Linked DNA regions of Sus scrofa. The protein of the gene in region 1 interacts with the protein of each later gene in a pairwise test. Links are inferred from orthologs where the notes say so. Each region holds a gene or a part of one and is shown on either strand. Other genes may lie near its edges. The genes, in order: PNMA1, SUV39H2, TEAD4, MAB21L2, SEMA4C, ARID5A and FBXL18.

Evidence for each region.
Region 2: the proteins of PNMA1 (region 1) and SUV39H2 interact in binary tests that used the Homo sapiens proteins (3 or more experiments, as listed by UniProt). The two-hybrid records come from large-scale screens. The link is inferred for Sus scrofa from reciprocal best matches to the Homo sapiens genes PNMA1 and SUV39H2.
Region 3: the proteins of PNMA1 (region 1) and TEAD4 interact in binary tests that used the Homo sapiens proteins (3 or more experiments, as listed by UniProt). The two-hybrid records come from large-scale screens. The link is inferred for Sus scrofa from reciprocal best matches to the Homo sapiens genes PNMA1 and TEAD4.
Region 4: the proteins of PNMA1 (region 1) and MAB21L2 interact in binary tests that used the Homo sapiens proteins (3 or more experiments, as listed by UniProt). The two-hybrid records come from large-scale screens. The link is inferred for Sus scrofa from reciprocal best matches to the Homo sapiens genes PNMA1 and MAB21L2.
Region 5: the proteins of PNMA1 (region 1) and SEMA4C interact in binary tests that used the Homo sapiens proteins (3 or more experiments, as listed by UniProt). The two-hybrid records come from large-scale screens. The link is inferred for Sus scrofa from reciprocal best matches to the Homo sapiens genes PNMA1 and SEMA4C.
Region 6: the proteins of PNMA1 (region 1) and ARID5A interact in binary tests that used the Homo sapiens proteins (3 or more experiments, as listed by UniProt). The two-hybrid records come from large-scale screens. The link is inferred for Sus scrofa from reciprocal best matches to the Homo sapiens genes PNMA1 and ARID5A.
Region 7: the proteins of PNMA1 (region 1) and FBXL18 interact in a two-hybrid assay, tested with the Homo sapiens proteins (2 studies listed by BioGRID). The two-hybrid records come from large-scale screens. The link is inferred for Sus scrofa from reciprocal best matches to the Homo sapiens genes PNMA1 and FBXL18.

Annotation. Positions count from the first base shown.
Region 1 is NC_010449.5:97,048,865-97,053,240, reverse strand, and holds PNMA1 (paraneoplastic antigen Ma1), read left to right. Parts: upstream 1-1,383; 5' UTR 1,384-2,223; coding exon 2,224-3,285; 3' UTR 3,286-4,091; downstream 4,092-4,376.
Region 2 is NC_010452.4:46,875,697-46,879,430, reverse strand, and holds the end of SUV39H2 (histone-lysine N-methyltransferase SUV39H2), read left to right. Parts: intron 1-1,389; coding exon 1,390-1,519; intron 1,520-2,293; coding exon 2,294-2,400; 3' UTR 2,401-2,969; downstream 2,970-3,734. UniProt on the Homo sapiens protein: Histone methyltransferase that specifically trimethylates 'Lys-9' of histone H3 using monomethylated H3 'Lys-9' as substrate.
Region 3 is NC_010447.5:67,164,581-67,168,811, reverse strand, and holds the start of TEAD4 (transcriptional enhancer factor TEF-3), read left to right. Parts: upstream 1-1,232; 5' UTR 1,233-1,257; coding exon 1,258-1,483; intron 1,484-4,231. UniProt on the Homo sapiens protein: Transcription factor which plays a key role in the Hippo signaling pathway, a pathway involved in organ size control and tumor suppression by restricting proliferation and promoting apoptosis.
Region 4 is NC_010450.4:78,384,988-78,389,307, reverse strand, and holds MAB21L2 (protein mab-21-like 2), read left to right. Parts: upstream 1-1,299; 5' UTR 1,300-2,464; coding exon 2,465-3,544; 3' UTR 3,545-4,132; downstream 4,133-4,320. UniProt on the Homo sapiens protein: Required for several aspects of embryonic development including normal development of the eye.
Region 5 is NC_010445.4:56,757,758-56,761,364, forward strand, and holds the end of SEMA4C (semaphorin-4C), read left to right. Parts: coding exon 1-74; intron 75-950; coding exon 951-1,111; intron 1,112-1,189; coding exon 1,190-1,260; intron 1,261-1,395; coding exon 1,396-2,225; 3' UTR 2,226-3,078; downstream 3,079-3,607.
Region 6 is NC_010445.4:46,701,097-46,704,358, reverse strand, and holds the end of ARID5A (AT-rich interactive domain-containing protein 5A), read left to right. Parts: coding exon 1-311; intron 312-578; coding exon 579-738; intron 739-1,120; coding exon 1,121-2,344; 3' UTR 2,345-2,731; downstream 2,732-3,262. UniProt on the Homo sapiens protein: DNA-binding protein that may regulate transcription and act as a repressor by binding to AT-rich stretches in the promoter region of target genes.
Region 7 is NC_010445.4:4,068,026-4,071,793, reverse strand, and holds part of FBXL18 (F-box/LRR-repeat protein 18), read left to right. Parts: intron 1-1,438; coding exon 1,439-2,982; intron 2,983-3,768. UniProt on the Homo sapiens protein: Substrate-recognition component of the SCF (SKP1-CUL1-F-box protein)-type E3 ubiquitin ligase complex.

The DNA.
Region 1 (4,376 bases):
AAGGAGACAGGGCTTCGACACTGTCCTCCATGCCTTCAGCAACCCCTGTCACAGCTAAGGTACACACCTATCCCTTTGGCTACTCCACTTCCACCCCTGGCACAGAGGTCGTGTGCTGCTTATGTCTAAAGGGATCCCCTATATTTAACTGCCTCAATGACCTAACCTCTTTCTTCTCATGTGCCAGATGTTAAGATGAAGGAGGAATACAACACATACACAAGCCTCAGCTGTTTAAATATGTTTTTACCGGGGCTCAGTTTTCTCAGATGGTATTTATTACCAGTGGCAAGCCTAACTCCTTAGGTTTACAGGAAGTATGCATATTTTTATAAAACAATTGTATGTCCTCCCCATATTTTGCTGTATTAATATTTGCCTCTAACTAACAATTTGCAGCTGTTTCACCTTTTCCTCATTTGTCTCTTAGTCAAAGGCCTTGTTGGAGGGGACAGAGCACAGGAACAGCCTTGATAGTCTGTAATTATTGTACAAATATTTTAATAGCATATAAATAAGTATATTCCTTTTATTTTGAAAAAATCAGACACTGCCTTTTGTGTGTTTGCTGCCTGTGGCACCCTTTTTTAAAAGACTGTTACATATTAAAATAGTGTACATATATATAAATATTACCTCTTTTGCTGTACAGTTGTGATAGACCAGACGGAAGATTTTATTTTTTGTGTGCTTTTTATAAAAAAAAAAATTAACACACTAAAGAAAATCTTGCTGATGTGATTGTAATGTACCTATGTAACTTATTTACTTTTGAATGTTCTTCTGTATCTTTAAACCTTTTATTAAATAAGGTTTTAAAAATTCAGAGTTGATTTCTGTGTCCTTTGGGGGAAAGATTTATTATCTCACCATCTGGGATTGTAAGTGTGCCTTGGTTTGCTTCCAAAGGATACTTGACATTTTTGAACCATAAGGCCTGTTTTATCCATGATGCCAGGGCAGGGGAAATAACACATTAGTGTTTGCCGGGTTACTATTCATAGAGATCTAGATCTTTTTACAACATTTTAGACAAGAAGAAGTCTCAACTCACTGGGATAAAATTTAGAGGGTGCAGAGTGCAGTCAGGTGGTACAGGGTATTATACAGCATTGCCTCTGAACGAGCGACGCGAGTAGACAAGTCTTTCTTGACGGCCGGATATCATCTTAAATCCACTCCAGAATTATATTATCTTTTAAACACAGTGCTTTGTTAAGAAAAAAAAAAATCTGGAAAATGCGAAAAAGGAAATGCGCGGTAAAGGAAATTAACGCCCGCGGCCCCGAGCTGCCACCATGGCAACCATTCGCCCCTGCAGGCCGCTAGAGCTCCGGCGTCTCGCGTCGGTGGTTGCCGTGGCTACGGTCGCGCGGGCAGGGCCGCGGGGGGCGGGGCGAGGCGGGTCGAAGGCCGGCCCCGCCCTCCACTGCGGCAGTAAAGGCTAGGCTGGCTGCGGGTGGGACCGAGGTACAACTGTGCAGCTCCAGCCCACCTCGGCCCGCGGTCGCCTGCGTGCGGGGCTGCCGCGGCCTGCCTGCGACTGCGCCTGCGCCTCCTCTAGCCTGGCTTCCGCGTCTTTCCTGCGCCTCTGCTGCCTGTGTTCTTGGTCCTTGGCGTCCTCGCCGCCCAGAGGGATACGTTTGCCCACGAAGAAGCTCTCTCGGGTTGGCCTCGCTGCCGCCGCTGTCTTTCCCTTAGGACAGTCTTTCCCTCCGGGGGCGGTACTAGTTCTTGTCTGCGGAGAAGCGGCTCCTAGCTCGTCTGAGGCGTGCTCCGCTCTGGCAACGAAAGCTTGCACCCTCTGGGAGCAGCAGCGAGTGCCTGGCGCCCAGGCTGCGAAGAGGCGGCCACGTCCCGCGATCAAGCCCTGCGGCTCCTGCTTTCGCCGCCCGCCTTTTTTCCTCGCCTCTGCGCTCCGACGCGACACCTTCCTGTAAGTGGAGGACCCGGCCTGCGGATCCCGACCGGAGACACAAGATGGCGATGGCCATGTGACTGAGCATCCCCGAGGCTTCGTTCCGAGAACGCGGAGGCCTGGCTTTGAGGGGCAGCGAAAAGAGGAGAGCAGGACACTGGTGTCGTTTGTTAAACGTGATTGACTCCCTCGGGCATATGGGGGGAGGTGGCGGTGGGAGCGTCTGCTATTGTCTTCAGTTTTAGAGCACAGGGAGCCACAGTCTAATTGTATTTGTAGAATTGGGGCCCTTGATAGTTGGGAAAATGGCGATGACACTGCTGGAAGATTGGTGTAGGGGGATGGATGTGAACTCCCAGAGAGCCCTTCTGGTCTGGGGGATCCCTGTGAACTGTGATGAGACCGAAATCGAAGAGACCTTTCAAGCTGCGATGCCCCAGGTGCCCTATCGAGTGCTTGGGAGAATGTTCTGGAGGGAAGAGAATGCCAAAGCAGCCTTGTTAGAGCTCACTGGTGCTGTCGATTATGCTGCGATCCCCAGGGAGATGCCAGGTAAAGGAGGGGTCTGGAAAGTAGTCTTTAAGCCCCCCACTTCCGATGCTGAATTTTTAGAAAGGTTGCACCTCTTCCTAGCAAGAGAGGGGTGGACCGTGCAAGATGTTGCCCGTGTCCTTGGGTTTCAGAACCCCACTCCGGCCCCAGGCCCCGAAATGCCGGCAGAGATGCTAAACTATATTTTGGATAATGTTATTCAGCCTCTGGTTGAGTCCATATGGTACAAGAAGCTGACGTTGTTCTCGGGAAGGGACATTCCGGGGCCAGGGGAGGAGGCATTTGATCCCTGGCTGGAGCACACTAATGAGGTCATAGAGGAGTGGCAGGTGCCTGATGTAGAAAAGAGGCGGCGGTTGATGGAGAGCCTTAGAGGCCCTGCCGCTGATGTCATCCGCATCCTCAAGACCAACAACCCTGCGATTACCACCGCTGAATGCCTGAAGGCGCTGGAGCAGGTGTTTGGGAGCGTCGAGAGCTCTAGGGATGCGCAGGTGAGATTTCTGAACACATACCAGAACCCGGGAGAAAAATTATCTGCTTATGTGATTCGTCTGGAGCCTCTGCTGCAGAAGGTGGTTGAGAAGGGGGCCATAGATAAAGATAACGTGAACCAGGCCCGCCTGGAGCAGGTCATTGCCGGGGCCAATCACAGCGGAGCCATCCGAAGGCAGTTGTGGCTGACCGGGGCTGCTGAAGGGCCGGCCCCCAACCTCTTCCAGTTGCTGGTGCAGATCCGCGAGGAGGAGGCCAAGGAAGAGGAGGAGGAGGCTGAGGCCGCCCTCCTGCAGTTAGGCCTGGAGGGGCACTTCTGAGTCCCAGGAAAGGGGGCGTTAGTTCAGACCTAGATCACGGCTGCTTTCATTGTCTCTGTGATGTCTTACAGGTGTGTCTCCTGCTAGTAAAGACTAAGCGGTGTTTTTTGTTTTTGGGCGGGAGTCCGGCCTGGGTATTCATGTGTCATTAGCACAATCGTGCAGGGGAGCACCAGATCTGCTGCAGCGCTCGTGGGTCATGCTAGCTACAATGCCAGGGAAAGGCTTGGACGTGAGTCCTCATTGCAAGCTATCATCATGGCACCATCATCGGTTGTGAAAAATGTGGTCTCGTGACTCTTCCCATCAAGGTAATTAAATATGAAATTGCATGTTCAGATGTATAATGAGTGCAGGGCCTGGATACCAAAAGAACTGTTCAGTAAAAAATGTCAACTGTTTACTCTTAACTGTGGTGAATAGTTTTTGTGTCTACCGTAAATTGTTCCTGGTTTATATTAATGGAAAGAAATGTGAATAAGGTATTATTCAGCTTTACAGTGCAGATTTCTTACTGTACATCTTTAAAGATCTAGATCAGTTTAATTGAAAAGTGTTCTGAGACTACAAAATGGGGTGTTAGAACGATACTGCGCTTACAGGGCTGTGTAAATCAAGTTTTCACTGTGTAAGATGCAGATATAAAATGCATGGGGAGGTTAATAGGAACCAGTTACAGCATCTATTCCCCCATTTCAAATCTTTGTCATTGAAGAGTAGTTTACCATGTTCATGCTGATTCTAAATGTTTTAAATTCGAAGTTATCAAATACATGTATATTAATAAAAATATTTTTTAAATTCTCTTATTTTTCTGCAACATATAAAAATTTTCAGTGTAATTAAGCTCTGTATCTTCATTTTTTCAGGAAGATTTCCCCCATCACTAAAAAAATCCCCCAAACCTTAATTATTTTACTTTAAGCTTTATATCATACTAAGTTTAAATTGCAGTACTTTTTAATATATTCAATTTCTGCATATTTTCTACAAATGTTAGAAGGCAAAATAGTGAATATTAACTTATTATAAAATGTTATAACATCCTGAAATAGGGTTCAGGAAGTTATCTAGCAATGCTTTTTCCTCCC
Region 2 (3,734 bases), on another chromosome or scaffold:
AAAGTTCAAGTATTAACACACAACTCTGTTTCTTACAGGAGAAAACACAGCTAAATTTTAGGATATATAACTAAAGATTGCTTGTATTCTCTTAAAATGTAAATGTTAACATTTTTTTAAAAATGTTAACATTTTTATTAAAGCATTTGTAGAGTTTTGAAGTATTTAGGGCTCTTTTTCTAAATTATTAATTAGTTTTCTTAATTCCTGTTTGAAAAGAACTTAGAGTACAGTTGGATCCTTAACTCCAGAATCTTATACTCTATAAAAGTTATTTCCAAAAATAAGGGAGGTTAGGAGTTACCAGACACCTACTACTTGCTAGATGGATAATATATTAGGCTTGTGAGAAGAACATTATCTCCATTTCATAGATTACAGGGAAAACGTGTCTTAGTAAGTTCTAGAGCTGACCATATAAGGAAGTAGACCATGTTAATCTTTTGGTGGATTTTTTAACAAGAAACTAGTTGATGATTAGCAGTAAAATGTCAGAGACCTTCTGACTCCTTTGTTTTTTGGTTTACTTAAACATTTAATTTTTCCTTAATGATAAAATTGAGATTCTCTCAAAATAGATTTATTCTATTCAAGGACAGTTAAACAATTATTTTGGTTTCTTAGCATGATTCACTGGATCTTTCTTGCATATGCCAGAGCTTAGCATAGAGAGTAATTCCAAACAAAAGTTTAAGAAATAAGGAGTTCTTGTCATGGCGCAGTGGAAAGGAATCCAACTAGGAACCATGGGGTTGCGGGTTCCATCCCTGGCCTTGCTTGGTGGGTTGGGAATCCGGCGTTGCTGTGAGCTCTGGCGTGGGTCACAGGCACGACTCAGATCTGACCGCGATTGGACCCCTAGCCTGGGACCCTCCATATGCTGTGGGTGCAGCCCTAAAAAGACAGAAAGACCAAAAAAAGAAAGAAAGAAATGAAACTCCCCCGTGCAGTATGCAATTTGAGGTCTATAGTGCTGATTTGATTTAAAAAAAAAAAAAAAGTTACTTAGGTTCCTTAGATATGCCTTACTAAAATATTTACAGGTGAAGTGATAATGTTACCTGATATTTGCATTTAAATGCTTCAAAAAAAAAAGTTGGGACTGGTGAATCAAGATTGACAAAAATGTTAGTAACAGTTGAAGCTTCATAGTGAGATATATGTGGACTTATTATATTATTTTCTCTAGTCTTATATATGTTTGAAATTTTCTATAAAGGATCACAGTATTTTTAAATGTGCATACCCAAGAGACCTCTAAACAACAAGTAACTTACTTTTGAGTAGAATTTAAACTAATGCTCTGGGAAATTAAAAGGTTTTATATGGCATGTAGAAGAGCTCGTTTATGTTATTTTTACTTACATGGGTTCTCATGTTGCTTTTTAGTGTGACCCAAATCTTCAGGTGTTCAATGTTTTCATTGATAACCTCGATACCCGTCTTCCCCGAATAGCATTATTTTCCACAAGAACCATAAATGCTGGAGAAGAGCTCACTTTTGATTATCAAATGAAAGGTATGGTTTTCAAGTACAGTTTCTTAGGTGGTGTTTCAGTGTGAAGAGTCTAATCAGAATAGAAGACCTGAAAGTATCTGAACCAAACTAATACTAAGAATGAAAAAAATGAGGCTATGAGAGTTTGCCTTCGCTCAAGGGCACAAAGCTAATCTGACGGGGCTAACGCTAGAATCCAGGACTGCCTGATGCTGGGCTGAGTGCTGCTCTTCTGCATCGCATTGCTGCCTGCTTTTTTCAGAACTTCTGTACAGAAGCTTCTTTATTACAGCATCTTTTCTCAATATTACTTGTATTTAAAAATTTTTAAATCTACATTTCTGAATGTTTACCGATATATATTCAAAAGATTGAAAATGTGATTTAAATCATGTATGAACTTACTCCATTCCTACTTGAATTTGGCTTTTATAAGAACATTTAATTCTCTCTGCTTTACTGTGGCAATACATGTTTTCTTTCCTTTGTTTTTCTAAGTGTGATGCCCTTTAGATATTGTTACTACCTGACCTTGCTTTATGGCTCCTAAGTAATTTATGAAATGAACGCTTGTATTTTGGATTTAACGTGTAAGTTTTATAGTTTTGCAAACCTACTCTCACAAATATGGGCTAATAACATACACTGTACCTCTTACTAGCCCACGCCATCCTGTCCAGTTCACAGTGATTTGTCTCTGAATATTCACACTTACTTAACAACTGATAAAAAATTTGAAACTCATTCTGAATTATCTTAACTCTTTCTTCTCTATTTCTTTTTCTATGTATTCAGGTTCTGGAGATATATCTTCAGATTCTATTGACCACAGCCCAGCCAAAAAGAGGGCCAGAACTGTGTGCAAATGTGGAGCTGTGACTTGCAGAGGTTACCTCAACTGAATTTTCAGGAAATAGAGCTGAAGATGATTGTAGTTTTTTTTCTAATGTTAACATTTTAAAAAATAAGTATTTGGGACTTTTTTCACATTATCAAGATTATACACTATGTTAATTTACAATTCATGTTTCACACGATTGGCCAAATGCATTACTGATGTTTCTGAAGAGAGGAACACAAGGTCACATAGACTAATTTGAAATATACATATTCAGTGGTTAGATGCCAAATATGAAAGGATTATAGATTAGCATATATACACTTAAAAGGTCTGTGTGAATAGCAAATGCCTCCTTCAATGTTTAAGTGTTAAACTGATAATGTAAGAGTCACTAAGATGAAACATCGAACTTGCCATACATCTTGAATTTAGAGAAATAGAGTTAATTCATTTTGGGCAAATATACAAGCTCTATTTTTGTTATTATGTTGTCATTCCTGTTTATCTACTTACTACTCATTGTTCTTGTATTTGAGACAAATAAGTTATACTGAATTATACTCTATTTTCTACTTTCATTAAAACATTGGGATCTTAATATACAGAAATTTAAGTTCTATAATTAAATGTAAAAAAATTTTAATTACAGCTTGATTTCATATTTTGAAAGACTCAAGACCACTAGGAGGGATGGTTGTCTGAACCAGTAATTCTTAAAGATTTTTTAATCCTGTATAAGAAAAATATCCAAAATGTCCTCCCTAAAATTCTGGGACACCTGGCTATTACGCTTCTTTGAAAGGATGAGGCGGTGGGACCAGGAGGGTTTTTTTGGAGTGCCAGGCAGGGGAAATGGAGCACTTGAAGGGCCCTCTTGATAAGATGAATTAGGAGGTCCATGCTGAGTACCTCTGGTCTCCACAGTAAAATAGGATTGTCCCTGAGAGCAGCTGCATCTAGTGGTAATGTTTTTCATGATAATTAACATCTGAATTTCAGGCAGTTTTAACATTTCCCTTCCACCAGATGTAATTATTTTTATATTTCCTACAAGCCCTTCTTAAGAAGTAATCTATATTTTGAACTGATACTTCCTTTATATATGAATTTTTTCAGTGTGATAAAGCTAAACTTGGCTTGGCCAAAGTGTGTGTCTGAATTATAAGACCATTTATTACTTGAACTTTTAAGACTGAAATGAAATATTTTCATTTTTGTGAGTTTCCTGTTGTTTTGTTCTTTTTTTTTTTTTTTTTCCCTACGTAGTGAAACCTCAGCCGGATAAAACTGCATTTTCATCTCTTTCTGATCCTGGGATTTCTAATCATGGTGTCCAAAATGAAGGTGAATGTAGCAGATAAGTCTAGCTTATGTTATTCCTAATAAAAGATGTGC
Region 3 (4,231 bases), on another chromosome or scaffold:
GGCAGGGACCGAACCCGCAACCTCATGGTTCCTAGTCGGATTCGTTAACCACTGCACCACGAACCATTTTTAAGTGTGCAGTTCAGTAATGTTAAGAGCATATTCAGAGTTCCCGTCATGGCACAGTGGAAATGAATCCGACTAGGAACCATGAGGTTGCAGGTTCGATCCCTGGCCTCGCTCAGTGGGTTAAGGATCCGGCGTGGCTGTGGCTGTGGCGTAGGCTGGCAGCAACAGCTCCGATTTGACCTAGGCTGGGAACCTCCATATGCCATGGGTGAGGCCAGACAAAAGACAAAATAAAGCATATTCATGGAGTTCCTGTTGTGGCTCAGTGGGTTAAGAGTCCAACTAGTGTCGATGAGGATGTGGGTTCGATCCCTGGCTTCTTTCAGCAGGTTAAGGATCTGATGTTGCCACAAGCTACAGTATAGGTCACAGACATGGCTAGGATCTGGCATTGCTGTATCTGTGGTGTAGGCCTGCAGCTGTAGCTCTGATTCAGTCCCTAGCCTGGGAACTTCCATATGCTGCAGGGTGGCCCTAAAAAACAAACAAAAAGATTTTTTTTTCATTTTTAAGGCTGAATAACACTCCACTATACGTAGAGACCACATTTTATTTAGCCATTCATTTGTCCATGGACACTTGGGTTCTTCTGTCCCTTGGCTGTGGTGAATAATGTTGCTTTGAACATGAGTGTCTTTGAGACCCTACTTCCAGTTCTTTTGGGTATATACTCAGAAGTGGAATTGTTAGGTGCTATGGTCATTCTCTTTGATTTTTTGGTTGGCCCTCCATGCTGTTTTCCTAGCGGTCACACCATTTTACATTCCCACCAACAGAGCACAGTATTTTGTATGCTCTTGGCCCTTTTTGGTCTAATGTAGAACATCCATGGTACTTGGCCCTCATCTAACTTCTCAGCCCCATCTGGGTTCCTAGAGCCACAATCAGACAGTGCCTGGTTGCTGAGCTCCTTTGATGGGGTGGGGAGCTGAGGTCTGTGGAGGGGAGATGACCTGCCCTTGACCAGCCCCTCCCCACCCCGCCCTGCCCCGCCCACCTCACTCTTTGCCCCATGGGATTCCCTGGCTTTCCCCTTGAGCTCCTGGGCCATGAGCACCAGGAAAGGAGAAGCACCTGGTTCAGGGGTGGTGCTCCCTGGGTTCCCCCACCCCCTTGTCCACACGTTCATCCACCAATGCTGTGCTTTCTGCCCACCCAGGTCCAACGGGCGCTCCTCCAAGCGGAGCCTTGGAGGGCAAGGCCGGCACCATTACCTCCAACGAGTGGAGCTCTCCCAACTCCCCCGAGGGGAGCAACGTCTCTGGGGGCAGCCAGGCTTTGGACAAGCCCATTGACAATGACGCAGAGGGCGTGTGGAGCCCCGACATCGAGCAGAGCTTCCAGGAGGCCCTGGCCATCTACCCGCCCTGCGGTCGGCGCAAGATCATCCTATCGGATGAGGGCAAGATGTACGGTAAGGAGGCTGTCAGTGTTGGGCAGCAGGCCCGCCAGCTCATGGTCCAGCCCCAGGAACAGCCTGGGCACAGCAACCCGGTTCCCTCCAAGTGATGGAAAGAGGTGACCTCTTGGGGCTTGTCCTGGCAGACGCTGCTTTACTCTGTCCTAGGCTCCCAAGGGCTGGGAGGCATCAGGGGAGACACCTTTGGGTGGCTGTGAGGATGGAACTTGGGAAAGCCTAGAACATCCCCCCGGGGCAGGCTGGGAAAATCCCTTTAGCCACCCCCCAGGCAGATGCCTGATCTCCCAGCTTCCCACTGTGGCTGTGAAGGCCTTTAGGAAGGCGGTCCTGGTTCACTCCCTCATTCATACCTGGGCCTTTGGTGTGCCAGGCAGGGGCGGGGCAGATCTAGTCCCTTCTCATGGTACGTGGGGGTGGGCATACAGGTAACTGTACACAAGGCGTTGAGAGTGTCCCGGGGTTGGGGGGGGGTGAGGACCACCCCCCTGCAGGAGTGTGCCCCTTAGCTGAGAGCCATCAGGGAAGGCGTGGTCTGGGGCTCCACACGCCCTCTGCGTCATTGTCAATGCAGGACACAGAGGCACTTTGTCCCGCAGACCCTGGGAAGGAACGAGCCGTCTGCCTGGGCTGTGTTGACTTTGGGATGGAAGAGAGGGTATCTGGGAAGCAAAATGAACACGGAACAACTTTTAGAGGCTCCGTTCAGGCTTCCATTGCCATTGGAAAGTTCCCTGGGACCCCCAGCCTGAAACACTGGGACTGGGTAGGAGCTGTGGGGATCTCTGACTGGCTGAAGCCCCTGTCCACAGAGGGTCTTGCCCTGCTTCCCATGAGATGGCTCTGGGCCAGTGCCCACCCCCACGTGGGTGCCCCTCCCCCAGCACAGATGCCTCATCAGCTGACTGATCTCAGCTCCTAGGGCTGCTGTAAAAAACCACCTCGAATTTCAGGGCTGCCTTAAGATGACAGACATGTATCCTCTCCCGAGTCAGAAGGTTGAAGGTCTGAACTCAGGGTGCTGGGGGTTGGCTCCCCTTGGAAGCTCTGCCGGAGGATCTGATCTGTGCCCCCTCCCAGCTTCTGGGGGCAGCTGGAGGCCCTTGGTGTCCTTGGCTTGTAGCTGTAGCACTTTGGTCTCAGACTCTGTTGTCACATGGCCGTCCTGTCTGTCTGTCTTTGTGTGTCCTCCTCTTCTAAGATACCAGTCGTTGGATATAAGGCCCCCCTTAATCCAGTGTGCCCTCATCTTAGCTAGTTAATTCTGTAAAGACCCTGTTTCCTGGAGTTCCCTGCTGGCCTAGTGGTTAAGGATCCAGTGTTGTCACTGAAGCAGCTTGGGTCACTGCTGTAGTGTGGCTTTGATCCCTGGCCCAGGAACTTCCAGATGCCATGGGCAAGGCCAAAAAAAAAAAGATCATTTCCAGATACGATTACATTCTGAGGTTCTGGATGGATGTGAATGTTGGGGGCGGCGGGCGCTGTTCCACTCTGTTCAATTAACTAAACTCAAATCTGCTTTGTGACTGGTCTAGGGAGCCAGCCCCACCTGCTTGTCTTTAATCTGCACCTGCCCTGCAAGGGCAGGGATTCCTTCTCCTGCTGGAGGAAGCAAGGTCCTTTCGAGCTAGACCCCAGCTCTGCTCCTCGGTTACCTGTTACAGCTGCTCATCCGACTTTACCAGCCCCTCCGCTGAGGCTCTGCGGGGCCCCCACTTCTGCGGGTCTCCACGCCCTGGTTTGGGCTCCCCTGGCACCTTGCTCTAACCACGTCCTGCTCCAGTGGTTGCTTCTTACTTTGGGTCCCCATGGAAGCTTCACGGAAGAGGCAGCCGCTGTGCGCAGAGCAGCTGTGGGTGCCAGGGGTGGGACCTGCTTTAGGTAGGCTCTTCCCGTGGAGCTGGGTGGCCTGGGCTCTTCCACGGCTTGATGGAGAGTGGGGTGCGTGTTGGTCATGAGCTGAGGTGTGACGGTGACGTCGTGGCGGGGGTGTGGCTGGAGAAATCAGGGTCCCTTGATGGGGCAGTGGTCAGTGCCCAGGCGCCTAGCAGGATTGATCTTCCTGCTTTAAAAGGACACATGGCCTGGCAAATACAATTGTGTTCGAGGCGCTCGGTGTGGGGAGAACGCTGAGGGTGCTGCCTGTTGGGGAGGCCCCGGTGGTGGCAGGTCTGGAGAGCCAGCAGACAGTCCTCGCGTGCCACAGTGGGACCCACTGTTTCTTTGTTACCCATTCTTAAGTGTACAGCTCAGTGGCATTAAGTACGTTCACATTGTGGTTGAGCAGCCATCCCCACTGCCCGTCTCTAGAACTTTCTCATTCCCTCCAACTGAAACTCTGTCCCCGCTCAGCACTGGCCCCTAGGTCCCTCTCCCGCAGTCCCTGGTACCCGCCATCCAGTCTACCGCTTTGGCTAGAGCTCCTCCAGGGCCCTCATATACATGGAATCACACAGTATTTGTCCTTTTGTGCTGGCTTTTTCACCTGACATCATGTCCTCAGGGTTCCTCCGTGTCATTTCAGGTGTCAGGATGTCCTTCCTTTTTAAGACTGAATCACCTTCCACTGTACGCACGAGCCGGTGGTGTTTATCCGTTCACCCAGCTGATGGATATCTGGGCGGATGCGTCCCTTTTTCTTAGTGGTGACAGGTGGATGGTTCTATCCATATTCACATAGAAAGGTATTGGGGTTGAGAGCCTAGCTTTGGTCAAAGCAGGGTTTGGGACAGCAGGGCTGTGGAA
Region 4 (4,320 bases), on another chromosome or scaffold:
GCAAAATGAATTCGCACAACCGGCTTCATAGATTTTTATTGTTACAGCATTATCTGAGAATTTAAGATGCAAAATCTAACTAAAAATATTCCCATATACTCGACTTGTCTTAAAAAAGACTCAGAATCCACACATCTGAGTTCAAACATAAACCTTCAATTCTAAGCAAATCAGAAACACTGCTACAGCTTTTTCAACCATAAGTACCTAAAGGCTACCAAGGGTAGAGCTTGAAAGGATAATACAGATACTAAAAGCACAAGCATGAGTTTCACTGAAATGCCAAGGGAGGAGTGAAGCCATCTGTGTAATCAATAACAGGATAGTTATAGATTTCTGCAGCAGTGAAGTCTTTTAAAAGCAAGAGTCTATAAAGAAAATAAAATGATTTTACAAATGAAACTGTAATGTCTGAAAATATATTCAAAATTAGGTTTACAACATTAACATTTTAAGAAAACTTTAACTCAGGTTCACATTTACTTCCCTTCATTTTTATTACATTTAAAATAATTTTAGTGGCTTAATATAAAAGTATATATTCAACAAAATTCCACCATATATAAATCTGCACCATTTCTCACAACTTAAACATATTCTAATAACGAGTTAGTCCTTGTAACAAAGTAATAACATTAAATATATCTGAATCTTAATTATGAGTAATTATGAAACAAGGTGCCTGCACTACTTTTGCCCTGCCCAGTTTTTCAACAGCATATGGAAATTACTGAAAAGAGATTTATGATTATAAATCCTCACCCCATGTCTACCCCCCCCCAAAACTGGTGCAACAAATACAGCAATTACTCTGGGTCTTGGCAACAATGGGAGAGGATGGGAAAGAAAGGGAGGAAGACTCTGCCAGAGTAAAAAATCTAGAAAAATTTAGGTCCTTTCCCAGATTGCCCTTCCTCCTCCCATTTGCCTTCAAGCCAAAGTAATTTTGTTAGAGTTTGCACCTTCTTCACAATGTTGATAGGAAAAAAAAAGTGAACCTTTCTGAACCACTGCTACTCTCCCAGCCATCTCCAAGAAGTCCCTTCTCTATACTCTTTTTCTTCCTTGCAACTGTTAAGAGAGGAGGATAAAAAGAAGGGGCTGTAAAATGCGTGTGAGCATTCGACTTCTACTATCTCCTCCTATTTTCTTACTTCTCTTTACCCCCTTTCTTTATCAAGTGCAGCGGTGGCTGCTACCGTTTGCCAAGCATGCCTGTCTTCTCTCTCGGATTGGCTAAAGCACTGACAGCTCGGATAGCGATTGTAGGAACTAAAGCTCCACCCCCTTCATGATGGCCCAGGACCATTCATAAACTAAATAACTCCAGGAAACAGCAAGGCAGAAAGAGAGAGAAAGAGACAGAGACAGAGAGAAAGAGAGAGAGAGAGACTCAGAGAGAGAGAGAGAGAGAGAGAGAGAGAGAGAGACTCGGAGAGAGAGGGAGGGAGAGGGAGAGAGATTTGAAGCGAGAGGGAAAGAGACATCAGAGGGGAGGAGGGAGAGACGACTCAGAAAGTGGAATCTGCACAAGCAACCTAAAGGGGGAGGAGAGGAAAAACCCTCGAATCGTTATAACTAAACCCCAGATGCAAAGCAAGCAACGACCTCGTCACACTAAAATAGACTTTGTGAGGGCCAAAATTATAAATTACGAAGCAGAAATGAATATCAACCAACTTCCAGCAGTTTGCACCTAAGACAGACAAGAAGAACCCACTGCAAACAAACCAACCCAGTCCAAACAACGCCTCCAGTAGGAGAAGAGGAAAACCACTACAAGAGGACCCCCTGAGAAGAGACCAGACCCACACGCTGAGAGCGCAGGCGTCTGCGAACCTCCGAACCTCCGTGCCGCGGACGGAGGTGCACTTCACTGCTCTCTGGACATTAATTACACCCTTCACCTTCCATTCGGGGGAGGGTTAGGAGAAAAGCACTCACCTAAGCTGAATGAAGAAGGGCGACCAGCGTGGGGGAGAAGTTTAAGAATGAAACACTGAATGTTTCGCTTTTATTTTTAAATTTACTCTGGCACTTAAAAGACCTGATTTCCAGATTCCCGGGCCATCTCTGATGCAGACGTCTAAGCCTAACCTCTTGGTAACCTGAATTTTTCTCTCTCCCCCTGCCCTTTTCCCTCCTCCCCTTCATCTCTCCCGCAGGCACATCTTTATTTCGCTTATCAAGAGAAAGCAAAAAAGTCTCAGCACGTACTTTTCTTTTTCAAAGATCACCTTTTTTTTTTTCTTCTTATTTTCTCGATAAGAGAAAAGCTTTTGAAAGAGAGCGAGACAGCTGAAGCACCAGCTGGCCAGCCCAGGTGGAAAACAAGAGTGAAAGTGGGGCTTAGTGGGAGCGCAGCGCCTCTTTCGCAAGCCGCAGGGCCACCACCAGCGCTTGAGCCTTGGATCCCTCAACGTACTGCGAGACGCCGGTGTACAGCCCGGACCTGTGCCCCAACATGATCGCCGCCCAGGCCAAGCTGGTCTACCAGCTCAACAAATACTACACGGAGCGCTGCCAGGCGCGCAAGGCGGCCATCGCCAAGACCATCCGGGAGGTCTGTAAGGTGGTCTCGGACGTGCTCAAGGAAGTGGAGGTACAGGAGCCCCGCTTCATCAGCTCCCTGAGCGAGATCGATGCTCGCTACGAGGGGCTGGAGGTCATCTCGCCGACAGAGTTCGAGGTGGTGCTCTACCTAAACCAGATGGGCGTCTTCAACTTCGTGGACGACGGCTCGCTGCCCGGCTGCGCAGTGCTCAAGCTGAGCGATGGGCGGAAGCGGAGCATGTCTCTCTGGGTCGAGTTCATCACAGCGTCCGGCTACCTCTCTGCGCGCAAGATCCGCTCACGCTTCCAGACGCTGGTGGCTCAGGCGGTGGACAAGTGCAGCTACCGGGATGTGGTCAAGATGATCGCGGATACCAGCGAGGTCAAGCTGCGCATCAGGGAGCGCTACGTGGTGCAAATCACTCCTGCGTTCAAGTGCACCGGTATCTGGCCTCGCAGTGCGGCCCAGTGGCCTATGCCCCACATCCCCTGGCCCGGCCCCAATCGGGTGGCGGAGGTCAAGGCCGAAGGGTTCAACTTGCTCTCTAAGGAGTGTTACTCCCTGACCGGCAAGCAGAGCTCTGCGGAGAGCGACGCCTGGGTGCTACAGTTCGGTGAAGCTGAGAACCGCCTGCTGATGGGCGGCTGCCGAAACAAGTGTCTCTCCGTGCTGAAGACGCTTCGGGACCGCCACCTGGAGCTGCCAGGCCAGCCGCTCAATAACTACCACATGAAGACGCTGCTGCTGTACGAGTGCGAGAAGCACCCGAGGGAAACAGACTGGGACGAGGCGTGCCTGGGCGACCGGCTCAACGGCATCCTGCTGCAGCTCATCTCCTGCCTGCAGTGCCGCCGCTGCCCTCACTACTTTCTGCCCAACCTCGACCTTTTCCAGGGCAAGCCCCATTCGGCCCTGGAGAGCGCTGCCAAGCAGACCTGGAGGTTGGCCAGGGAAATTCTTACCAATCCCAAAAGCCTGGATAAACTATAGGGTGCCAGGGACTGCTTGAAAAGCGACACAAACGGGAATGCTCTCAGACACACAACACACACAACTGGGCGACCAACAGCGGAAACTCCAGACACAAACTTTTTTGTGAGCCACCTAAAAGGAAGGAGAACCCAACAGAAGACCCTCCCTAATTAACGAGCGAACAAAAGGAGAGCAAACCAACCAACCAAACAAACAAAATCACATTCTTGCACAAAAGTGATCGTTTTCTTCCGAACAATGTGAATTTAAAAGGTCACACAAAAGAAGCAATCGGGCTTTGCCACCACAAAATGAAACCCAAGGTACATTTTCAAATCAAAGTATTGTAGTTTCTCCCTTTTACTTCTCTCTCTCTTTCTTTCTCTCTGTCTGTCTGTCTTCAATTTGTTTTGGGTTGCCTGAATGTTGTCACCAAGTGAAAAAGTATTTAATTATATGTAAAATTTCTCTTTTAAACAAAACTTTGCTGATGTTAAATGTATCTCAGTGCCAATGTCAGATGTGCCCCTCCCTCTCTCGCACCTCTACCCTCACCTTAAGCAGTCTTGTCGAAAACAGTAATAAAAATATTACTTTACGTTGTAATTGACTGTTTGTGGACTGTTCTTAAATGAAGGCAGGTGAGATCAAAATTTCTAATTTACAATGTAAAGATGTGAACCGGAGGAACTAAAGGCAAGAAGCTGCCATCTTAATTCTAGTTTTCCAAATTTACAATTGTAGCACGTTTTGTAGATTTAACCATTCAAGTTATCACCAAAATCTTTAGAAAA
Region 5 (3,607 bases), on another chromosome or scaffold:
GGGTCCACCTGATTGAAGAGCTGCAGGTGTTTGACCAGGAGCCTGTGGAAAGCCTGGTCCTGTCACAGAGCAAGGTAGTAAGCAGTGCCCCCCCTCCCCACCCCACCCCACTGTCCCCACACCTTCCCCAGTCGTGTGCGTGGCCTGTACAGGGGTGGGGAGATGCTCAGGCAAGTCCCAGGAATGAGTGCTGATGGAATCTGGGCCCTGCAGGCATTAGGCTCTATATCTGGCCTGGTCCCCACGGGGCTGCGTTCCCAGGACGGGTCCTCGGCACCTGCACCCAGTGCCCTCAGACCCCTTGGGGTTGCACCAGGCCTCTGCTACTCATGGCCTCTTCTCTGATGGCGCCCCTACTGGCCAGGCCTCAGGCTGCCTTGCTTCATGACGTGATGGCCCCTTTCCCGCCAGTCTGGACCCTGAAGTGCTGCTGCAGCTTCCCCATATGCTCCGCTCTCTTCTACCATACTTGGGGGGCTTCTGTCTGCTCGCCTTTCAACAACTCTGGTGGCTCAAATTGTTCCCCAGAACACGGAAAAATGGCAGAAAGTCCATGGTCGAAGAAACACACGGAATTGACCATCGCCCCTCAAACAGAGGAAAAGGCCTCATGCTCTGCTGGTGCTATTGTGAGGCTGACTGGCCCTGCGGAAACTGTGCTTCCTGCGCTATTTATACTTTCCTGGAGTTTTGTGTGTGTGTGTGTGTGAGTGCATTACACTTCTTGGCCTCCCAGGTCCGCCATTCTGCTCTAAGAAGGTCACACCCGTAAGGTGCTTAGGATTGTGGCTGGCTTACAGTAAGCCCTCTGCCTGTTCTTGGTCCTCAGATTTCCCTCCTCAGGATGTGGGCACCACCCTCTCCTCCCTGGGGCAACTTTTGCCCTTGTGTCCCCAGCAAGGGTCCTAGCTGTGTCTGCCCCGCTCAGCCTCCCTCCTGTGTTTCTCCAGCAGAAGCTGCTCTTTGCGGGCTCCCGCTCCCAGCTGGTGCAGCTGCCCCTGGCCGACTGCGTCAAGTACCGCTCCTGTGCTGACTGCGTGCTGGCTCGGGACCCCTACTGCGCCTGGAGCGTCAACACCAGCCGCTGCGTGGCCGTGGGTGGCCACTCAGGGTGCGTGGGGCTCTGCTGGGCCCTGGGGCTGGGGGGAGCTGCAGCCAGGACACTGACGGCCTCTGCTTCCCCCACCAGATCCCTGCTGATCCAGCACGTGACGGTCTCAGACACCTCGAGTATTTGTAACTTCCGGGGCAGTAAGAAAGGTGAGCTATCTTTTTAGTCCCCCTTGGGGTGGGGGGGCTTGGCTGAAGTGCCTGCACGCCCCCCACTCCCCCCACCCCACCCCGGCCCTGAGTTTCCTGCACTCACTCTCTGCTCTGCTTTCTTTGCCGCTGCAGTCAGGCTCACACCTAAAAACATCACGGTGGTGGCAGGCACTGACCTGGTGCTGCCCTGCCGCCTCTCCTCCAACCTTGCCCACGCCCGCTGGACCTTTGGGGGCCGGGACCTGCCTGCGGAGCAGCCCGGCTCCTTCCTCTATGACGCCCGGCTGCAGGCCCTGGTGGTGATGGCTGCCCAGCCCCGCCACGCCGGGGCCTACCACTGCTTCTCCGAGGAGCAGGGGGCACGGCTGGCTGCTGAAGGCTACCTGGTGGCGGTGGTGGCAGGCCCGTCAGTGACGCTGGAGGCCCGGGCCCCCCTGGAGAACCTGGGCCTAGTATGGCTGGCTGTAGTGGCCCTGGGCGCTGTGTGCCTGGTGCTGCTGCTGCTGGTTCTGTCGCTGCGCCGGCGGCTGCGGGAGGAGCTGGAGAAAGGTGCCAAGGCTGCAGAGAGGACCCTGGTGTACCCTCTGGAGCTGCCCAAGGAGCCCACCAGCCCCCCGTTCCGGCCCGGGCCCGAGACAGATGAGAAACTCTGGGACCCTGTGGGCTACTACTACTCAGACGGCTCCCTCAAGATCGTGCCTGGCCACGCCCGGTGCCAGGCCGGTGGGGGGCCACCGTCCCCACCCCCTGGCATCCCCGGCCAGCCCCTGCCTTCTCCAACCCGGCTCCACCTGGGGGGCGGGCGGAACTCCAATGCCAATGGTTATGTGCGCTTGCAGCTAGGAGGGGAGGACCGGGGCGGCCTCGGGCACCCCCTGCCCGAGCTGGCTGATGAACTGAGGCGCAAGCTGCAGCAGCGCCAGCCGCTGCCGGACTCCAACCCCGAGGAGTCCTCAGTATGAGGGGACCCCTCCACGCAGCAGCGGCGGCGATGGCGCGGGAGGTGTGCTCCCACTTTTGCACAGGCACCAGCTACCTCAGGGACATGGCGCGGGCACCTGCCTGCCACCGCCCGGCCATGAGGACCTGCTCTGTCAGCATGGGCACTGCCACTTGGTGTGGCTCACCAGGGCACCAGCCTCACAGAAGGCACCTTCCTCCTCTGTGAGGGGCTGTGAATCACGGACGCATGGGACCCCAGCAGCCAAAATGTTTCAAGGCAGAAGTTGGAGACATGGGTGTGCTTGTGTATATACGTGTGTGTGGGTGTGTGCATGTGTGCGTGTGCGACATAGTCCTCCTGTTTCTGTCGAGTCTTCCCTTGGTGTGGGGTGGTCCTGGTGGGTCATTGGAGCTATGAAGGGGAAGGGGTTGTATCACTTTGCTTCTCCTACCCCCACCTGTCCCCCGTGCGGGCCAGCCATGTACATATGGGGGTGGGTGGGGCAGGGTGCTGTGCCCCTTTGGGGGAGCACAGGGCTCTGGGGTGGGCCGGGTCCTGCTCCCAGGGCTGTGAATGTTTTCAGGGTGGGGGGAGGGAGATGGAGCCTCCTGTGTGTTTGGGGGAAGGGTGGGAGGGGCCGCCCCCTTGGCCCTGGCGTTCTGTGGTGTTTCCTACTTGTCCTCCGTGATGGGGCTGGGGAAGGGTATGGGGGGAGGGGGGAGGAGAGAGGGTGGGCATGCTGTGGAGGGTGTATCCTCTCCCAGCCCTAGGAGGAGGGCTCCTGACAGTGTAACTTATTGTGTCCCCACGTATTTATTTGTTGTAAATATTTGAGTATTTTTATATTGACAAATAAAATGGCGATAATGAAACTGTTCCTGTCATGGAGATAAGACATTCAGGTTAAAATAAAAATTAAAAAAAAATAAAACTTGGGTGCCAAGAGGGAGGCTGGACTGTCCCCACGCCCAGTCCAGGGGTGGCTGCCCCTTCAGTGGTCCCTTCCTGCTGGTGCCCCTCTCTGGAGCAGGGAGAGCCCAGGCTCCAGTGTTTTCCCACAGTGGTGGCTCAGACTGGGCACCAGACCAGGGCCACAGCCTCTGGGGAGCCAGCCTTGGCTTCTGGCCATAGGGAGAAGTCAGGGCAGGAGGGGAGGAGGGGCCTGGCCTCCCAGAACTCTGGGAGGGGGAAGTGGGAGTGAGGGTGGGAGGAGGGGAACTTTCTAGAAGCAGTTTAAGGTTGTGTGGACTAGCTTGTGCGAGGGTGAGGCTCCCAGCCAGCTTGGGGCAGGAGAGATTACTTCGAGCCCTACACTTGGGGAATGCTAGTTTGTTTTTTTTTTAACGTATTTTGTATTTTTTAAAAGATTTTTATTTTTTCTATTATAGTTGATCTACAATG
Region 6 (3,262 bases), on another chromosome or scaffold:
TGTTCTGCCCTTGTGCTCAGAAAGCTGCTCAGGCCAGCAGTCAGCAGCCCCTGGGAGGGATACCTGGCTGGCGGCCAGGCGCGCCCCCTCCAACCTTGTCATCTCTGCTGCTGGAGCAGCTGCAAGAATGTGTTCTTGCCCCATCCCTGCTGTGGGGGGACCCCGAGGCCAGAGGGTGCCCGCGGGCCATGCCCTCACCTGGCGCTGTTGCAGGTGACCGGCCGGCGCCTCTGGAAGAATGTGTACGATGAGCTGGGGGGCAGCCCGGGCAGCACCAGCGCGGCCACGTGCACGCGCCGCCACTACGAGAGGTACGGCTGGGCCCCCAGGTTATGGGACCTGGGCCTTTCCCTCCCAGGGCTGGGCCAGTGGGACCCTGGCTGGGGAGAGAAGGGCAGCAGGCCTCCTGGACAAGATGAGGGGGGGCGGGGCCCCCACGGCTGTAGGTGGTGTGCGCTGCTGGGCAGGGGTGTGCATGGTGGGGGTGGGGAGGAGGCCAGGTGGGCTTGGAGCGGGGCAGGGTGTGGCACCCCCCGCCAACCCTGGCCTCCTGGTGGACGTGCCTGGCTCCTTCTCAGGCTGGTCCTCCCATATGTGCGGCACCTGAAGGGGGAGGATGACAAGCCACTGCCCCCCTCCAAGCCCAGGAAGCAGTACAAGATGGCCAAGGAGGCTCAGGGGGACGATGGTGCCACTGAGAGACAGAAGAAAGCCAAGGAGGAGAAGCAGGTAGACCAGGTGAGCTCTGAGCCTGGCTGGGGCCCCTGGCCATACCGGGTTTTCCCATGCCCTGCCGCTCACGGCACCCAGACCTGCCCCGAGGCCAGTCCCCAAGGGGCTGCAGGGCCCTGTGGTGGCTGTGTGTGTTGTTTACTACTTGAGGGCCCTCAAGTACATGTGGGGTCTGAGCTCGGGTCTGCACCGCACTCACCAGTCCCTGTGTCCTGACACCAGGCTGTCCATTCAGAGGATGGGATGGCCTTTTGAAAATTCTGCACAAAGGTACTAGAAGGGCTAACAGAGGCTCCTGGGTACTCACTTGGGACTGCTGTCACCAAGTCTCCGGGACAGGATCCTTGGCTCAGACCCAGGCCTGAGGCTTGGCCTTTTCTCATTCTAGATGACACCAGGAAAGACCAAAACAGACGCCCCCGACCTAGCAAGGCTTCCCAGCCAGGAGCCCCCCAGGGACAGCATGGAACAGCCAGGCCCAGCCCCTGGGCCCTCTCTGCCCTTTGTGGGTGCCAGCGGCTGCCCTGAGGCCTACAAGAGGCTCCTGTCCAGCTTCTACTGTAAAGGGACACATGGTATCATGTCACCACTGGCCAAGAAGAAGCTCCTGGCCCAGGTGAGCAAGGCAGAGGCCTTGCAATGCCAGGAGGGGGGCTGTCGCCATGGGGCAAGTGGGGAGCCCCAGGTGCCCTCAACTGTTCAGCCCCTGGAGAGCCCCCAGAGCCCAGGAGGGCTGGCTGAGAACTCCAGGCACCAGCTGACACCTCCGGAAGGGGTGCAGGGCCCTGGTGGCAGTCTTAGGGAGGAGGCTCAGGTGGGGCCTCGCCCCTCTGCCCCCACCTTCACCGGCTGCCTCCACACCTACTCTTCTGAGGTGCTGAAGCCCATCAGCCAGCACCCCCGGGACTTCCTCCCCAGTCTTAAAGATGCGGTGTTACTGGGGCCCCCTGGCAAAGAGGAAGGGCTGCCGACCAAGGAGCCCCAGCTGGTATGGGGTGGGGATGCCAACCGTCCGTCTGCATTCCACAAGGGCGGCTCCAGGAAGGGCAGCCTCTACCCCAAACCCAAAGCCTGCTGGGTGTCCCCCATGACCAAGGTCCCTGCTGAGAGCCCTGTGCCCACCTTCCCAAGCAGCCCAGGCCTGGGCAGCAAGCGCAGCCTGGAGGAAGAGGGCTTGGTTCATGGTGGCAAAAAACTGCGGGCAGTGTCTCCTTTTCTTAAGGAGGTGGATGCCAAGGAGTGTGGGACCAAGTCTGTAGGGCCTGGCTTGGCTGTCTCCTGCCTGCTGGGCCCAGCCCTAGGGCCCACCTTCCCAGAGGCCTACAGAGGTACCATGCTGCGCTGCCCACTGAACTTCACTGGCACCCCAGACCCCTTAAAGGGCCAGGCCCCACTCCCCTTCAGCCCCCTGGTCATCCCGGCCTTCCCGGCCCACCTCCTGGCCACTACAGCGCCCTCGCCCATGGCCGCTGGCCTCATGCACTTCCCCCCAGCATCTTTCGACAGTGCCCTTCGCCACAGACTTTGTCCGGCCTCGTCTGCGTGGCACGTCCCACCTGCCACAACCTATGCAGCGCCCCACTTCTCTTTCCACCTCAACACCAAGCTGTAGGCCTGAGCCCGCAGTGCTGTGATGCAGTGCGGGGTCCGATGCGGCCCGGGATGGGGAGGCACTGCCGGAAGCTCTGGGCTGGAGCCCCCTTCTCAGGAGAGCTTGGCTGTGCCTAAGGCAGGGATGTCGCCCTGGCTGGGCAGCCTGGCACAAAGAGAGGCAGTGGGAAAACTGAGTTTCTCTCTCAAGGAGGCAGCCGGAGCCTGAGGACCATGGGCCCCATGGTTGCAAGGCCTTGGGAGAAGACAGTGCAGGGCCGACCGCTCCTGGCCAGGGCCCCAGAGCAGAGGCCCGCAGTGGGGTGAAGGGCCAGGGGGCTGGTCAGCAGCTTGAGGTGTCCAGGCTGCCCATGGAAAATCCAATAAAATGCCTGTGGATTCACGCAGCTCTGAGGTGTATGTGGTACAGACCTTCACAAGAGCAGCGAGGTGCGGGGGTGGGGTGTGTTCATGGGTGGGGCCCCAATGGGGTGACAACCTGGGATGTCATCAGCCCACTGAAGAGCAGGACGCAGGCTGTGCCCTTCACCGCTTGGCTAGTCGAGGCTCAGGACAACTGCCTGGTACCTTCCTCATGGCGTAGGCAGGGGCCTGGGGCTCAGTGGGGACCTGTGACTTGCCTAGGTTCCCCCCGGCAGCTAAGTGGTAGAGCAGAGCTGTCGCTCAGGTGTGACTCCAATGCTCTGAGTGGAGCCACAGGACCCAGCTGGCAGGAGGTGTCCTGGAGCTGCTAGCAATGCTCCTGGGAGCAGAGGGTGGGAGCAGAAAGCCAGAGTTAGTCTGCCTTGGTGGTGGCCTCACTTGTGGGGCTGCTGCTGAATCTTCCTGGTGAGCTCCCCACCCTACCCCCAACTTGCCTGCCAGATGGCGGGAGAGGGGCACAGGAGGGTCCCACTGGGGGGCGCCTGGAGGGAAGAGG
Region 7 (3,768 bases), on another chromosome or scaffold:
AGGGTTCTTTCCTGGATGGGATGGGGCGGGGCAGGCGCCCCAGCACAGACTCTTTGGAGCGTGTCCTTCGCCTGCACGGTTCCCTGGGTGGACATTTGCCCTGAGAAGTGATCAGAAACGTACACGGATGCTTGATGCTTTGTTTTCCAAAGGCCCTGGTGGCTGCTGGGCCCCGGCTGGACATACCGTGGCTCTCAAGCAATCCGGGCCAGGTGGTTTTTTTGGATGGCTTCCCCAAGATACATGGAGTTCCTGGGCGGGTCAGGGATCCAATCCGAGCCGGAGTTGTGACCTCTGCTACAGCTGTGGCAGTGCCAGACCCTTAACTCATTGCGTGGGCTGGGGTGGAAGATCTGTCCTGGCGCTGCAGAGACACCATCAGTCCCGGCTGTGCTACAGCGGCAACTCCCGGGCCAGATTTTTGAGGAACACTCATCACTGTGAAAGCACATGTCATGTAAAGGAAAGTAACAGGCAGAGCCTTCTTCCAGGACCTGCTTCCTTTGTGTGACTGGGGAAAAAACCCGCTTAACATGAAGCTTAACTGTCTTAACCATCCCCCGCCCCCGCCATCCCCAGGCACATGGAGCTCCTGGGCCAAGGATCAGATCTGAGCTGCAGGTGCGACCCGAGCCGTAGCTGTGGCAGTGCCGGATGCTCAGCCTTGTGTGCTGGGCCAGGGATGGAACCCACGTCCCGGCGCTTCCAGTGATGGCTGTCGTGCCACAGCGGGAGCGCTGCCATCTTGACCGTTTTTCAGTGTGCAGTTCCAGAGCCATAAATACATTCGCTCTTTGCAAAACTTTATGCCTCTAAGCAGACCCCCTGCAGCTACGGAGCAGTCCGTCCCATTCCCCTTTCCCCGGCCTCTGGGGACCTCTGTTCTCCTTTCCGTCACTGATGCTGCCTATTCCGGCAGTTTCATGCAGCATGTGGCCTGTGACTGACTGAGCGAGGATGGCGCTGACTGAGCACCCTGTCCTCAAGGGTCACGTAGCCGCGTCACAGCTTCGCGCCGGCCCGTGGGGAGTGGAATTCCACTCAGGGATGGGCCCCTCTTCCTCCCTGGACGGGTGGCGGGGTTGTTCGTGAGAGCAGTGCGGCCGCGACCGTCTGTCTCGGTCTCCGCTTTCAGTCCCCTGGGAGCACACCTGGCCGAGGGGTTGCTGGGTCACCTGGTGACTGTGTGTCGCCTTTCCAGGAGCCCCCAGACTTGTCCGCAGGGGCTGCCCCTCCTGCCGGCCCCTCCTGCCCGGGGCTCCCGACGGTTGCTGGAGGGGCGGAGGCCCCGGTTCTGGCCCCGAGTGTCCCTCCTTAGCTGGAGAGGGGCCGGGGTGGCCCCCTGACCGTCGTGGGGGAGGGCACGCCCCGGGGGAGCGAGGGCGGTGGGGGCGGCTGGCGCCTCAGCCCCTCTCCTCCTCTCCCGCCCTGCCCGCAGGCCAGCGAGGACAAGGTGAAGCAGCTCGTGCGGGAGATCGGCCGGGAGGTGCAGCAGCTCAGCATGGCCGGCTGCTACTGGCTGTCGGGCGCCACCGTCGAGCACGTGGCCCGCTGCCGCGGCCTGGTCAAGGTGAACCTGGCGGGCTGCCACCTGACCTCCCTGCGCCTCTCCAAGGTGCTGTCGGCCCTGCAGCACCTGCGCTCCCTGGCCATCGACGTGAGCCCCGGCTTCGACGCCAGCCAGCTGAGCAGCGAGTGCAAGGCCACGCTGAGCCGCGTGCGGGAGCTCAAGCAGACGCTGTACACGCCCTCGTACGGCGTGGTGCCCTGCTGCACCAGCCTCGAGAAGCTGCTGCTCTACTTCGAGATCCTGGACCGCACACGCGAGGGCGCCGTCCTGTCGGGCCAGCTCATGGTGGGCCAGAGCAACGTGCCGCACTACCAGCACCTGCGCGTCTTCTACGCCCGCCTGGCGCCCGGCTACATCAACCAGGAGGTGGTGCGCCTGTACCTGGCCGTGCTCAGCGACCGCACGCCCGAGAACCTGCACGCCTTCCTCATCTCTGTGCCCGGCAGCTTCGCCGAGAGCGGGGCCACCAAGAACCTCCTGGAGTCCATGGCCCGCAACGTGGCGCTGGACGCCCTGCAGCTGCCCAAGTCCTGGCTCAACGGCTCGGCCCTGCTCCAGCACATGACCTTCAGGCGGCCCTTCTACTTCAGCTTCAGCCGCTGCGCCCTGTCGGGCGGCCACCTGATCCAGCGCGTCCTCAACGGCGGGAGGGACCTGCGGAGCCTGGCCAGCCTGAACCTCAGCGGCTGCGTGCACTGCCTGGCGCCCGACTCCCTGCTCCGCAAGGCGGAGGACGACATCGACAGCGGCATCCTGGAGACGCTGGTGGCCGCCTGCTGCAACCTGCGGCACCTCAACCTGTCGGCCGCCCACCACCACAGCCCCGAGGGCCCCGGCCGCCACCTCTGCCAGCTGCTGGCCCGGCTGCGCCACCTGCGCTCCCTGTCCCTGCCCGTCTGCGCCGTGGCCGACTCGGCCCCGCGGGCCGACCGCGCGCCCGCCCAGCCCGCGATGCACGCCGTGCCCCGCGGCTTCGGCAAGAAGGTCCGCGTGGGCGTGCAGACCTGCCCCAGCCCCTTCCCCGGGCAGGCGGGCCCCCAGCCGGCCTCCGTGTTCTGGTCGCTGCTGAAGAGCGTGCCCTTCCTGGACCGCCTCGAGCTGATCGGCTCCAACTTCTCCTCGGCCATGCCACGCAACGAGCCCGCCATCCGCAACTCCCTCCCGCCCTGCAGCCGGGCGCAGAGCGTCGGGGACTCGGAGGTGGCTGCCATCGGCCAGCTGGCCTTCCTGAGGCACCTGACGCTGGCCCAGCTGCCCAGCATCCTGACGGGCTCCGGGCTGGTCAGCATCGGCCTGCAGTGCCAGCAGCTGCAGTCCCTCTCACTGGCCAACCTGGGCATGATGGGGAAGGTGGTCTACACGTCGGCCCTCTCGGACATGCTGCAGCACTGCAAGCGGCTGAAGGACCTCAGGTGAGGGCGCCTCTGTGGGCGCCGTGGGGAAGGGGGCGCCGGCAGGCGTTTGCAGGCCTGCCGAGACAGGCGGGGTGCAGACCCGCCCTCCAGGGGCTGAGAGTCTCGGGGCGGGGGCGCCTGACGGGTCGGTGTGCGCGGCACGTCATCCTGGCCCCTGGGGCGGTCACGAGGGGGACGTCAGTCTTAACTACAGAGCGGAGGGGGTGGGCGTCACACCTGGGCATTCTACCCAGCTTTACCACTGTTTTGGGGGGCGGGGAGAGGGGAGCTGTACTTTTTTTTTTTTTTTGTGGCATATGTAAGTTACTAGGCCAGGGCTCAAATCCAAGCCACATATGCCACCTACACCACGGCTGTGGCCACACCGGATCCTTAACCACTGCACTGGGCCAGGGATTGAACCTGCATCTCAGTAGCGACTGGCAGAGTGGGGAAGCCCTTGTGGCCCAGGGCTTCCCCAGGAGCAGGGCTGTGACGGCAGCGTGACTTTGTGGCTGGGGTCAGCTGCAGGACTCGGGACAAGTGGGTTTTGTGCGCTGGCCCGAGAACCTGACCGGCACCCATAATGGGTTCTCTGTGTGCCCTGGCTGCCGAGACCACATCTGATTGGAGCTGGGACCTGCCTGCCGGGAATGGGGGGCTCAGACCGCCGCCCTTCGCAGGACGGAGGGCCCGGACTGCCTTTTTCAGAGGATTCTGTCCTTCTCGCCTGAATCTCTCTCAGCGCCTCCCTTTTCGCTGGCTCGTCTCTGTCCAGTGCTTCCTCCACCCTGTCCCTTTCTC